Linked DNA regions of Drosophila melanogaster. Changing the gene in region 2 together with the main gene of any one other region gives a genetic interaction. Each region holds a gene or a part of one and is shown on either strand. Other genes may lie near its edges.

What was found.
Region 1: of upd3 (region 2) and Tnks, changing one suppresses a phenotype caused by changing the other (phenotypic suppression), as found in Drosophila melanogaster (one study listed by BioGRID).

Annotation. Positions count from the first base shown.
Region 1 is NT_033777.3:25,658,241-25,663,083, reverse strand, and holds the start of Tnks (tankyrase), read left to right. Parts: upstream 1-1,797; 5' UTR 1,798-2,296; coding exon 2,297-2,492; intron 2,493-4,809; exon of another isoform or gene 4,810-4,843. Other genes in the region: RASSF8 (Ras association domain family member 8), read right to left, coding at 77-450, 598-669. UniProt on the Drosophila melanogaster protein: Stimulates proteasome activity, probably by ADP-ribosylation of PI31. Modulates 26S proteasome assembly.
Region 2 is NC_004354.4:18,275,473-18,283,282, forward strand, and holds the start of upd3 (unpaired 3), read left to right. Parts: upstream 1-1,760; 5' UTR 1,761-2,130; coding exon 2,131-2,133; intron 2,134-3,961; coding exon 3,962-4,411; intron 4,412-4,513; coding exon 4,514-4,711; intron 4,712-7,810.

The sequences.
Region 1 (4,843 bases), on a different chromosome or scaffold from region 2:
GCCTATTAACAATTAGGGCTAGGTAAGCGCTTTAAGGGGTAGTTTCCAAACTAACTAGCATATAAAAACCACCCACCCGAAACTTTTTTTCAATTCCTTTGTGCGGTAGCTGAGTTCGACGTTCGACTTTTGCTTTAGCAAAGTGGGCGCTGGCTTATTATTGTTATTGTTGTTCGGCCCCAGCGGCTTTTTTGTTGTTGTCATCACAGCATAGTTGTTATTATTATTATTGTTCTGCTGCTGCTGTTGTTGTTGCTGCTGCTGCTGCTGTGTTTTGTTTTCCGAACGTTGTAATATAAACTGCACATCATTTGCATACTCGCCCCATTTGAGCAGCAGCTTCATTGGATTCTCATTGGGGGCCAGGTGGCGTTCGTTATTGCGCCACCTTTCGATTAAAGTGAATCTGCCCACTTTTCCAGTGGCATGGGCCAAAGCAAAAACCACATCCTGTGGAAAATAAAACGATAATTAGGGCAAACTGACTAGCAAACAGAGCGCATACAGTTCGGGTCACATTAACAGCACTGCAGCAGTGTAAAATGCTTTAACAAGATAATAGTGCTATTATTTTGACCTCTGCTGTAGCTCACATACCTGACATGTGGTGTTCACTGTAACGCCGCAAACTATCCGCTGGATGCCCTCGACCCAAACTTTCAGCTCCATTCCGGCTAATTGTCGTCGAGTCGAGTCTCTAAAGATCGGCCAATTATTTTCGTTTCTTGGTGTTTCTGCTACCAGAAAATTGCTTTCTTGTGCCGCTCCAGCTGGAAATGGGGTTCTACTAATGGTTTTTGGCGCTTGACTGGCGTTCTGCTGTCGCGCAGCCAGCGAAGCGTGTTAGCTGCACTCCGCCTTTCCACTTTTCCGTCTGCTTTTCCCCAACCCCACTTTTCCTCGCCTGTTTTTCTTTTTTGCTTAATTTTCCGATCACAGTTTCTGCTTCTTCTTCACTTGCACTTATTCACAGCAACAACAACAACACGACTGGTTCCATACGCTTGCATGAGTGTTTGCTGGGCGTGCGGGTATGCGCGCGTGTGTGTGTGAGCTAGAAAAATTCTGATTCACTTTTCGGATTTCCGATTTGGTGATTACTTTTGTACTTCCGGCGCGGTAACTCCGTGGTTCTTCACTTTCTAGTAAGCACGATAATCTTGTTGTGAAGCAGCTCCACTGCTTTTGTTTTGATTTCACGGATTTTTAACGGATTTAATCTAAATTTTAAAAGCAAACATTGTTGTTGGCATGGGCATCCAGTCGATGCCAAAAATCGATTGCACCAACAGCCAACCAGGGATGGCCAAACAGGTGTTTTTCAAGCTATCGATAGCAATGCCAATTGGGATTGCATGTTGTTGTAACAGGTACTTGCTATTATTTTAAAAAATTTTTTTGAGATTTTTTCCCTAGTAATAGGCTTATGTGCTTATATTAGGATAATTGAAATTCCTACATGGCCTTTTCTAATTTAAGAATTCTAATTTAAGCTCATAAAAATGATGATCTTAATTTTTGTACCACCAATTGAATATTGTCTATTTGGTTAACAAAAAAAATTGTTTCTTATAACACAATATAGATGCAAACGTCTTTTCGCTTTTCACCAAATAGTGAGTGCACACTGAAGCACAAATTTGTGTAAAACCTTGTGAGAACATAAGCTATTAAATTTAAAAAATATAATTAATGGAAAAGCTTATGTGATTCGAGGACTTCAGTATTTTTTCAGAATGGCTTGCCCCGTCGCCTGGTCACACCGCTTGACTCAACCTGGAATATTCGACCACCCCGCGAACGGTCACTCTTACTCGGTCACAAAACAATGCAATATTTCGCGGAGCAGTGAATTAATCCGGAAATAATCGTCCGTGCCCAGAGCTTTGGAGGCCAAGTACCAGGGAGCTAGTCCCAGAGTTGGTCGCAGTCTCAGTAAAAACGAATCGTAGCCAACCGCGATCCTTGCAACCGTGCTGTGTCGAACCAAAGAAATCCTATTGATTTTGGGTCTGCAATTGTGCATTAAATATTAAGCAAAAACGAGGGCTGGTCGCGTGGCAGCCAGTGGCAAATTGTTGCTCCTGCGGCATAGGCAGGACACCTGGATACAGGATGCGGGCAAGCCAGCGACGGACAACGGCGAGGCTTGTGTAGGACGGGCAGAGCAACTGCTGGAGGAGAGAACTGGACTGGGAGTGGAAAACCCGAAAGCCCACTGAATATTGCGCTTGTTTTTTGTTGCCTATTTTTTTCGGGGCGTGTGTGTGCCAAAGCGTAGCAAACAAGCACAACAATGGCCAACAGCAGCCGAAGTCGGGCCATTTTGAGCGTTAATCTCGATGCGGTCATGGCCAACGATCCGCTGAGGGAGCTCTTCGAGGCCTGCAAAACGGGCGAGATCGCCAAGGTGAAGAAGCTAATAACGCCTCAGACCGTGAACGCCAGGGATACGGCGGGACGCAAATCCACACCATTGCATTTCGCAGCGGGTAAGTGAGATGCGATGCGGTTAGATCCCATCCAAATCCCTTCCAAGGACGGTCTAAAAACGGCAGCCCACCCCACCATTCGCCCAACGAAAGGTTGAAGGACTCGCCCAAACCCCCCGCTGCAGTGCGGATTTGGCCTTGAGCTAGTTGCGCCTGGGTGTGACGGGCGTCATTGTCGTCGCTCTCGGTCGGACACTCGCCTGCTCCAATGGCGTCGAGAGTTGACCTAGTTTCCATGTCGCTTCTGCTTTTGGCTCTGCCTCCTCTTCTGCTTCTGCTTCTCCTTCCACCACCGTTCTATGTGTTCTATATGTTTGGCTTGTTTCCGGAAGACCCCCTCTCAAAAGGGGAATCCCCCGTGCTGCCCCTTTTGCCGCTGCATGTGTGCGTGCGTGCTGCATTTAAGCATTTTCTATTTTCAAAAAAGACTCATACAGCTGCGGTCGAGATAATAGCACTGCATAATTAGCCATTTCAATGAGAGCTTTCACTGTCTCAGCACTGGAAATTGAATGTTTAACACACATATATCATCTGATTAGCTTTGTTTGTTTACACGTAGAATCCCATAGATAAAGGTCTGCAACATATGGTCTGATTGTATAGCTAACCTGTTTCGCAGGGTTTAGTTAGATGCTTGGCCTTTAAATATTAGATTGGGTAAACAAAATAACTCGTGCTAACATATTTATTTTATTTACATTTTTCAACTGTGAGTGATCAAATGATTAATCCTTCGTAATACAAGCATGCATGTTTTTTAACTATTATTTCGACTGCTATTGTGTCTGTTTTTGTGGGGGTGACAGTGATAGTGGGCGGTGGGCGGGGCAGTGGGCAGTGGGGCGACTTGTTGTGGCTGCTGCGTTGTATGCGCCATCCTGCTGACGTCTTTGGCTCAATATTTTCGCGTCTTTTGTTGTGACTTTGGCCTAGTTAGCATTTTATGCATTGCGATTTATTTAGTCAGTCGGCAGCATCGAATCAAAAGTGGAAAGAAACGTCTTTCCCTTCCCCATCCCCCATCCACATTCACCCCTTTCGAACAATACCCCAAAAATGCCATCAAGCTTTTCTAACCGTTTCACTCGACGCCCCTTGCATATCAATTTCGCCTTTTGGCCATTTGTGACTTCTTTTTTTTTTTAAGTTTTGAGCACTTTTTATTATCTGGCGGTGGGTCTTTCTTTCTTTCTATAAACTGGTTTTCCATTATTATGTTCGTCTGTCTTTTTGTCACGTTCTGTGCACAAAAAGTGAGATCTTCGAGGGGTCTGTTATTGTCGGGTGGCGTTTAAGTTATATATATTTTATTGCGGCTGCTTTTCACCTCGTTGAATGTATGACATTTTTGGCCACTCGAAGTTTTACAATACCTGTTGCGGTGGAAACCAAAACGGAGCTCACGTTTCCTCCTTCCTTTCCCGCAATCGTGACACATAGTAAAACGCAATCGCTTTACTTCGCTTCTTTGCGACTATCAGATTTTCTGACATTGGCCCGTTATCATGGCATTTATGTGTGTGTGTGTACATATATATAGTAAATATAGTCGATAAACCCGGAGAGACCTTCCCCTCCATATCTTGGCCATATTCGAGATACTTAAAACATACGTTTATCGCTGGCCAAAAAGTTGTGCAAATTAACCTTCGGGGTGGTAGTTGCAAATCAAGTTGAAATTGCATACATATATCTCAGTTTTTATTCATATATTGTTCACAGTCCCAAGGATCACACTTCCAAGTGGCGAGCAATTGGCGCTTTGACGCTCCAAGTGCAACAGTTGGAATTAAGTTTTCCATTCTATTAATTTTTAATGCAAAACTTTCGTAATTGTTTGCCCACAGAAAAGTGAACGGCACAAACGTTTCGCAAACCACTTTTTGGTGGGTGGCTCAAGCTTTTGTTTGCCCAGATTTGTAATTCGATCCGGTTCTCTTTGCAGTTCATTATAAACGTAGCAATAAGTACGATCATAAACATTTATTTTATGTTGATCATCTCTGGTGTGACCAATTACGGTACCCTATTAAGATGACTCAGATTTCTGGCATTGACAATGCAAAAGTTGCCAAAAGTATGTTTATAAATCGGGGGCTCGGTTGGATCATCACAACTGTCATCCGTTTATATTGATTATTATGCGACTTATTTTGATTATTTATCATTTAATTGTAAGGTTTACTTTCAACTGAACATAAGCTAATGTAAACTTTTTTGAGATTTCCTTGGGCAACAGTTCTGCAAATGCGGAAAACATATCTTTCTTTTCGTATGCCATGGACAAGGTTGAAATCCCCGAAGGCAAGACCTTCTCGCTCATTTGTAGGGCTTTCCCATCGACCAAT
Region 2 (7,810 bases):
TCGAAATATCCGCCAATTGGACAGATCAACACGATAAGCCGAAATCAAAAGCAGCAGTTACCCGATCCGTACCAGTGTGCCTCGTACAATGGTTTAAAAATAGCTCGGCCAAATCATGACACCGATCACCATCCGTAAGTTTGGCCGCCAGCGGTGGGCGTTGGGCGGCCGACGGCGAGTGGGAGTGGCAGTGGCAGTGAGCGGTACACGGTACATGGTACGCGGCAAAGCGTGAACCGTAAACGGTAAACGACAAAACGGAGACGTCGCCACTTTGGCCATGAGTAACGATGAGTGCTCAATTACTTTTCGATTGATCATGGTTTTGGCGCGCGGTGAAATTTAGACCGCCACCCCGCAGTTGCGCCTACCCCCTCTCGGCATCCGCATTCTGTCGACCGGTGGAGCGTAGTCGGCAATCATGAATGAATCGCCGTGTCTGCGAGCGTGAGAGCCCGGCTCGCGGTTGAACAAATCGTGTCGTCATTGACGGCTGTCGGCGGCCGACGGAGCGTATGAGTAATATTCTTGTGAAATTGAACGGAAATAACTGAAATTCATGCCAACCCCCATAAATTGCCGACTATTTGCGGGGGTTACTTCGGAACGGAACAAAACGGAACGGAATGGATCGTTTCGCTTCGGATCGGAAACGATCGTCTCGGAATCGAAATCGGAGAACGGGAGATCCGGAGAAACGGTGAATCGGAAGTGTGTGCCGAGTGAAAGTCATTCGATAAGAGCCAAGTAGCCGCTCATTTCGTTCCCCAGAGACCGGCAAATAGGCAAATTACACATGTTTTGTTTATCTGCGAGCGGGAGAGACAGTGAATAGCTCTCCCAGCGACCTTATCTGGTGGAGATCGGCCCAGTCGACGAATCGATCAATCACTCCACTCCAGTGCGCCGATTATGTGTCATCCCCCAAAGGGGAGCGCTGGAGAGCTGTGAGTATTTCTCATCGTGTTGAAATCTAGCTGGCCTAATCATTCACTAAACGTTTGTATTTTTCACGCCCATTACGACTGGGTAATATTGGTAATAAATCTATTATGTTCGGAATGGCCGTAATATAGAATATTTATGACATTTGTTACTAGTTCACTAACCAAATATTGGTCTCAATCGAATAGCTATTGGATGATTGTACTTGTTGTTGCCTAGTTTAGATGTTATCTCTCATATTTAGTATTATTAAAGTTAACTAAAGTTAGTTAAAGTTATACTTTTCTTCTGCTTTTTTCCATGCTTTCTTCAGCGTATCTTATTGCTCCTAGTTGCTAGTACCCTGGGTACAGGGTAACCCATTGTCCACACCCAGCCGCTATGAGTCGTTTTTGTTTTTTTTTATCGCTCAGCTGTGCTTTTTTATGGCTTTCTCGCGTTGTTTTTGGCACTCGGCGAATGTTTTGAGCGCTTTTCTTGCGATTGCACACTCATGACAGCCGAGAGAGCCTCTCCCTGTCTCTCTTCCGCTTCTTTGGCGATTCGAGCGGAGCGAACATGACCGGCGGACTGGGCGTCCGCCTCCTCATTAGTATGCTCATAGTAACTGAGGAGTTCAGTCAGTCTCCGCCGGCCACAAAAACAAAAAACTAAATATATATACACACATAACCACTGCACGCGAAAAGGCGAAAAAAAAGTGAAGAAACGCTACTGCAAAAATTGTACAAAAAAACAACGCAAAGACGGCGAGAAAGCCACTCCAATCCACTCCACAACACTCCACTCCACGCTCTCCAGCGGCAAGAAATCGACAGCGCTGTTGACTTCGACTTCGATCGAATCGGAATCAAATCATAGCAGACAGTCGAAGGCAGCGCGTCGACACTTAACGCGATAGTTCGTCCAGCCGCGATATAAAGATACAAAGATACGCAGCCAAATTCAACAAATTCAACAAATTCGACAAAGTCGCCTGATTCGCCTGATTCGCCAAATTCGCCAAATCGCGATCGCTTTTATTATTGGTTAGTTTTTTTTTTCGTTTTTTTCCCCGTTGCATTCTGGAAGCTTCTTTCCGGCAAATACACACAAAGAAAAGACTAACAGCGTTACAAAAGCAAAGTGCGTGTCAATCAAGTACGAATTTTTGTGCGGAATTCCCAGCCAACGATTTTTATGTAAATGGTAAGTACAAGTAACTACCGCAGGCGCGTATTTTTTCGGGGATTTTATATTTGCCTTTTCTGCTGCCGATAAGAGAATTCACCTGTGCGTGCTCGGTTTGTTGATAGGTACAGGTGTCTTTCGCTCGATACTTCTGAACCCGCAGAGTTCTTGCCAAGAGCTGCAATGGTCAGGTGAGGTGTCACGTACCCCACACATGATGAAATTGGCCCCAAGGAGGAGGTGTGATGGGTTTAGGGATTGGAGATGGGGATAGGGCTCACAACCGAAAGGGACCATCATCTCCAGCCTCTCATGGGGGAAACTCATTCGTGAATCACTGACACTGTTTGGTGATAGGCATTGAAAACAAGTTATAAATTCATGATGCACAATATGTTAAGTTCATTTTTCCACATGTGAATCATAGCATTTTAAAGTTATTACAATTATGAAAAACCCAAAGTTATTTGAAAACCTATGGACGTTATTTTCGGATGAGTATGACTAATCGTACAGGGGCGACTTGCATTTATTTGCTATTACTATTCTAACTTATTGGGAACTTATTGTTCCATTCAACCACACAACTTATGCAACTAACTTAATAGTTATTGCAACTGTAAAAAAAAACCCTTTTGACGAAAAATGGCCAAAAAAAGAGCGAAACATGTGAAATTAATTTACACGTTTCGTGCCGCGGGGGTGGTGGTGCCAGTGGTGCTGGTGGTGCTGGTGGTGCTGGTGGTGCTGGTGGTGCTGGTGGTGCTGGTGTTGCTGGTGTTTGGCAGGAATTGAAGATTGGATGCGTCAGCGGTTGTCACTACAAGCGTTAGCGATTCGGCACAGACAGGAGGACAAGGTCCGGGCAAAGGGACCGCGATAAAGAGCCGGAGAGCGAAAACGCACGGCAAGAGAGAGTGAATTTCACAAAAGTTTGCAAGACCAATGTTTCGTTGACCATGCTGCTCGATGTGTAGGAGGCGTGTGGAGCGATTGGAGCCTACCCCACCAGACAATATGAGATAGCACCGCCACCGCCAGTGCGGTGGCACCACTATCACCACTACCTTTGCAAGTCGACCTCCACCCGACACACGATGATTCATGATAATTTGGCTAAATAAAGAAATTTATTTTTAATTTGAAATAATTATTTCAGCCAGATAAAGACGGCACTAGCAATGGCCGTAGCTGTAGCTAAAGCGCAAACGATAATAATAACAAATCGCGCATGCTTCGGGCCCCCCAAACAATTGCGATTATATTTATATGTGTGCGTATGGGTTTGCGCATAAGTGCGTCCAGCGGGAATCCCCAAGCAGCCAACAATCATCATAATTCGCCCACTCAGGCACTAACACACACAAAATAACACAAAACAATCGCACCACAATCACACATCCGTACCATCACGTGCGCGAATTTTGGTTTATATTTGGCAAAAGTTGGCCAAGATAATATATAACCAGTCGGTTCAGTTCAGTTGTCCGCGCAGCGTCCGTTAGTCTTGACTTATGGTAATTGGTCCCTCGGCAGGGGGAATACATTTGGCCAACCGAACCCTCTTTTCGGCCAAAGTTTGAGTATGTAAATAACTGAAAATCGAACATACGTATTTGATTTTTTTTTTTTTTTTTTTTTTTTGGTAACTAATAATAGTATAACCTGTTGCTAGACTTTTCTCATGCTAAACACCGACGACGTCTGACGAAGATGTGACGTCAAGAAGTCGTAGTGAAACTCGAGCCATTATGGGTGGGAAAAAAATGAAACTGTGTTATCTTGAGGGCTTTGCGTGTTTGTATAAATTTTGTTTAGCTTATTTCGGAACTTTTTCCATCCACAGACGACAGCTGACCGCCCGCTCGACGTCAGCAGGAGCAGCGGAAGCGGTAGCCGGAGCGGTAACAAAACGGCCAGAACCAGGAATCCAGTGGAACCGCAGCCGCAACCGCCGTTCGTGGATCGACGACGACGCCTGAACAGGAACTGGTCACTGATCTTACTCGCCTTGGCCATGTCCCAGTTTGCCCTCTCCGGCGGCGGTTGTGGCGTCTCAGCGGCGCCCAGTCACCTGGCCACCCCGCCCACTGACAGCCCCTCCAGTCCCATCAATCCCACCAATCCCCTGAAGCACCTACAGAAGCGTTCCAGAGCGGCCAACTTCCGGCTGACCTTCCAGCAGAAATTGAATGCCAGCAGTACGCATCTGGACTGGGAGAACACCTGCAATCTGAAGCCCACGGGTCTGAACGAAACGCACAGCAAGGCGAAACGCTGCAAGAAACGCCAAAGGGTAAGTTTCAAGCGAAAGTTGGCTCTTAGCTGATAAATAAATTGGCACAACTAATTCACACACTATTATCTATATGTATATATGTATTTGTATCTATTTCAGATCCTGCAGAATCTACAGAACCAAACGGGCCGCGAGCTGCGGGGCATCCAGGCCGAGGACAAGGCCAGGATCACCACCAATGCGGACAAGCTGGCCACAGTGAGCACCAAGACTCTGGACATTGTCGAGAAGAACAAGTGGCGATTCTATAAGGGAAACTACAGATTCCTGCCCCGTCTGAATCTCACTAGCAAACAGGTGAGTGTCGTCCATATGCCATAAGCATAATATATGTATGCATATATCGTCATGTGAAGAACTACTGGATCATTTACAAACATCAAACACTCGCGGGGGGTTCTTCTGTTGCCAGGGAGCTTGAGGTGATAAAAAAGAGGGTCACGTGAGGCGTTCGCCCCGTTCACCTGCGTAGGTGCAAACAGGCCGTCACAAGCTAATGGCGAGTGGAGCGGTCATATGAGTCCGAATCCGAGGGAATCGTGCCGCCAGCCGCGAGAGTTGTTGCCATAGTTTGTTTGCGTGATTAAGGGAATTTATCAATCTATATAGAGGGGTATGAAGGAAACTAAGGAAATAAAGATTGAGATATGTATATAGTTCATATGTGCTAGCTTGATGATGGAGTTGTTTTGACAACACTTCCAACAGCAACTTGCATTGAGCACTTAAGTGCCGCCAACTTTTCGATCGCACCTCGTTCGTTTTGTCAGCATTAGCCGGCATTTCGGGACGCCCCATTAACCGTCGATTTGCATTGGTAGCAAACAACAACAGCACGAGGGAAAACATTAGCAATCGATGCCATAACCACATTAAGATTAAGAGCAAATTGACGGCGCGCGCGCTTTTTTTTTCGATTATTGTTTATATAGATCCATCGCGATCCCCCCCAAACCGGCCTTGATCCAGCGATCACGTTTTATGGCCAATCCGTAGATTGGATCGATCCGAATTGAGGCTGAAGCTGAAGCTGAAGCTGTATCTGAATCTGAAAACGAAGTTCAATCCGAATCTCAATTCGTATCTGAAGTGGATAATTTGTTGAATAAACAAAATAAAATCAAGCGGCACATTTTATTTACACTTTTGACAAGTAAACAACAACAAACAGAAGCTAATCAAATTTCGAATTGGATTCGCCACGGACATCTGAATTATGGCGAGAGGAAAATTATGGAGCTTTTCAATTTCGAGACCCTCGAGTTGCGGACAGTTTGATGTTAATAGAGTGGAACCGTTTAGTAATGCCAAATTGTCGGGGTCTGGGAATTCGGAAATATTTTCGCACTGACACGGTGAAATGAGCAAGACCAGTTGAGGAAAAACCCGGAGTGACCGATAGGCCAGTGAATAATGGAAGTAATGGAAGTAATATAGAATGTGGGCTCCGGAATGTGGATGGCGGTACTTGCGAAATGATTGCCACGGAGTACCAGTCGATACGTGACCAAGTATGACAAACGCCGTGCACTAGAAAGGGTCTAGTCCACATTTCAATGAGGTGGATGTCGCTTCGTGAATCGGTCGAGATCGGCTTGGTTGCCCCAACGTGCTAATTCCTTGGTGTCCGGGAAAGTTTCGTATAGGACAGTAATATCTGCAGATAACCAGATGAGTGTAGTTCACTTGGCGTGGCCATAAACAGATACTTTTATGAGATCGCAGGTGCGGCGAAAAATCTCAAGTGTGGTCAAGATCCGCGAAAACCGCCGACTCACTTCGAGTCAGCCAAAAGTCGCGTTCAGAGTGCAAGTGGAGTCTCAAAGGTCGCCACCCCCTGGGAATTTGGTTTTTATTTTTTTTTTTAATTACCCGTTCTGCTAAACTTAGCCAGTCCCATCATAGTTGCCATTCCATTTCATCCATTCATTCACTTAGCCAGCGATTCCACTCAATCGTCTATTCAGGGCGATGAGCAAAGTTTGGCTTTCGCTGAAATTTCTCAATTGTCGTCATAGTCTGGGAAAAGTACCTGGGCCTCGCGGATCACACTGTGAGAAAATGAGGGTAACAATTGACTGCCTTCGCTGCTTATAAGTACTCTTTCGTGTTGAGTTTTTCAGTAGATACCTTTGATCACACACTACTCGATTCGACCAGTCGATCCACCTTTTCTCACTCTGCACCAAGCTCGGGAACTTGCCGCTCGGGATGTGTGTCAATATTTGGCCAATATCGGCTACGTCAATGCCAATTGTGCCAACTAATTGTTGACATCCCCGGAACAGAGTGAAACGGAACCCCCAGATCGGAACCCGATCCGACGACGAGGTGGCAAACGGGACTGATAGAAGAACTCTATATTTAGATGGATCGTTTCGATACCGAGAATCGACGGCCTTTTGACGTCATGCATTCGCTCATACCCACCCAAAAAAAAAAAGGAAAACAACGAATTCGCTGATACCGCAGCGGATCGGTTCGGAAGAAGAAATGACCTTAACGATAATATGTTTGAGTAGTTCACAACGCTCGTTTATTGCAAATGACACACACACGCCGTTTGTGGTCGTTGATCGGGGGGATACGGGGCGCGGAGCGTATACGCGATATGTGATTCATATGAAACAGAGCCGTGGATTCCCCCGAAACTCCAGCGAGAGCGAGCGGGAGCGGGAGCGGGAGCGGGAAAGGGTGAGCGGCGGCATGCGGCGAGCGCGACATGAATGAAACGAAGAGCCAACGTCGACGTCACGAGCGGCCAGCCGAAGCGTAGCCGAGAACTCAAAAAACAGTTACGAGAGAGCGGCGCGAGCGTTCGGCTTGATTTTCACTTTCAGCCGCCGGCCAGATAAGTTTCTGGTCGTTGGGATGAGGGGAGTGTGTGTGCGATGGGAGGGGGGGGGGGGGGGGGTCCGCAAAGGGGCTGGTGGGCTCAGTTCACTCAACCCAAAAAATTCGAACTATAGGATCGACTATATACACCATATGCGATATGGATATCGCAATTTCCGCCAAGGTTTCGCCGTTTCTAATACTTTAATTTTACAATTGGGGATTTTTATTGCAAGCGAGTGCAGAAAAAGGTTTATTCAATAAAGATAACCCCGACCTTCATTCATGGCGATACAAGTAATTAAGGCGTTAAATACTTAAAAATATCATACTTTGCCATATAATTGTTTTATTTTCAATTCTATGCTGATATAATCAAGGATTATGGAGTTGATCTCCAATATGGGTTGGGGTAACTATGATGATTAAGTTGGGAATATATAAGTTTACAAGTTCATGGACAGTTAATGATATAAATAGAGCACTTAATTTAATCTAAAAACTAGTATATATAAAATGGGTGTACAAATATGAATCCATAGATTCTTATCAACAGAGAAC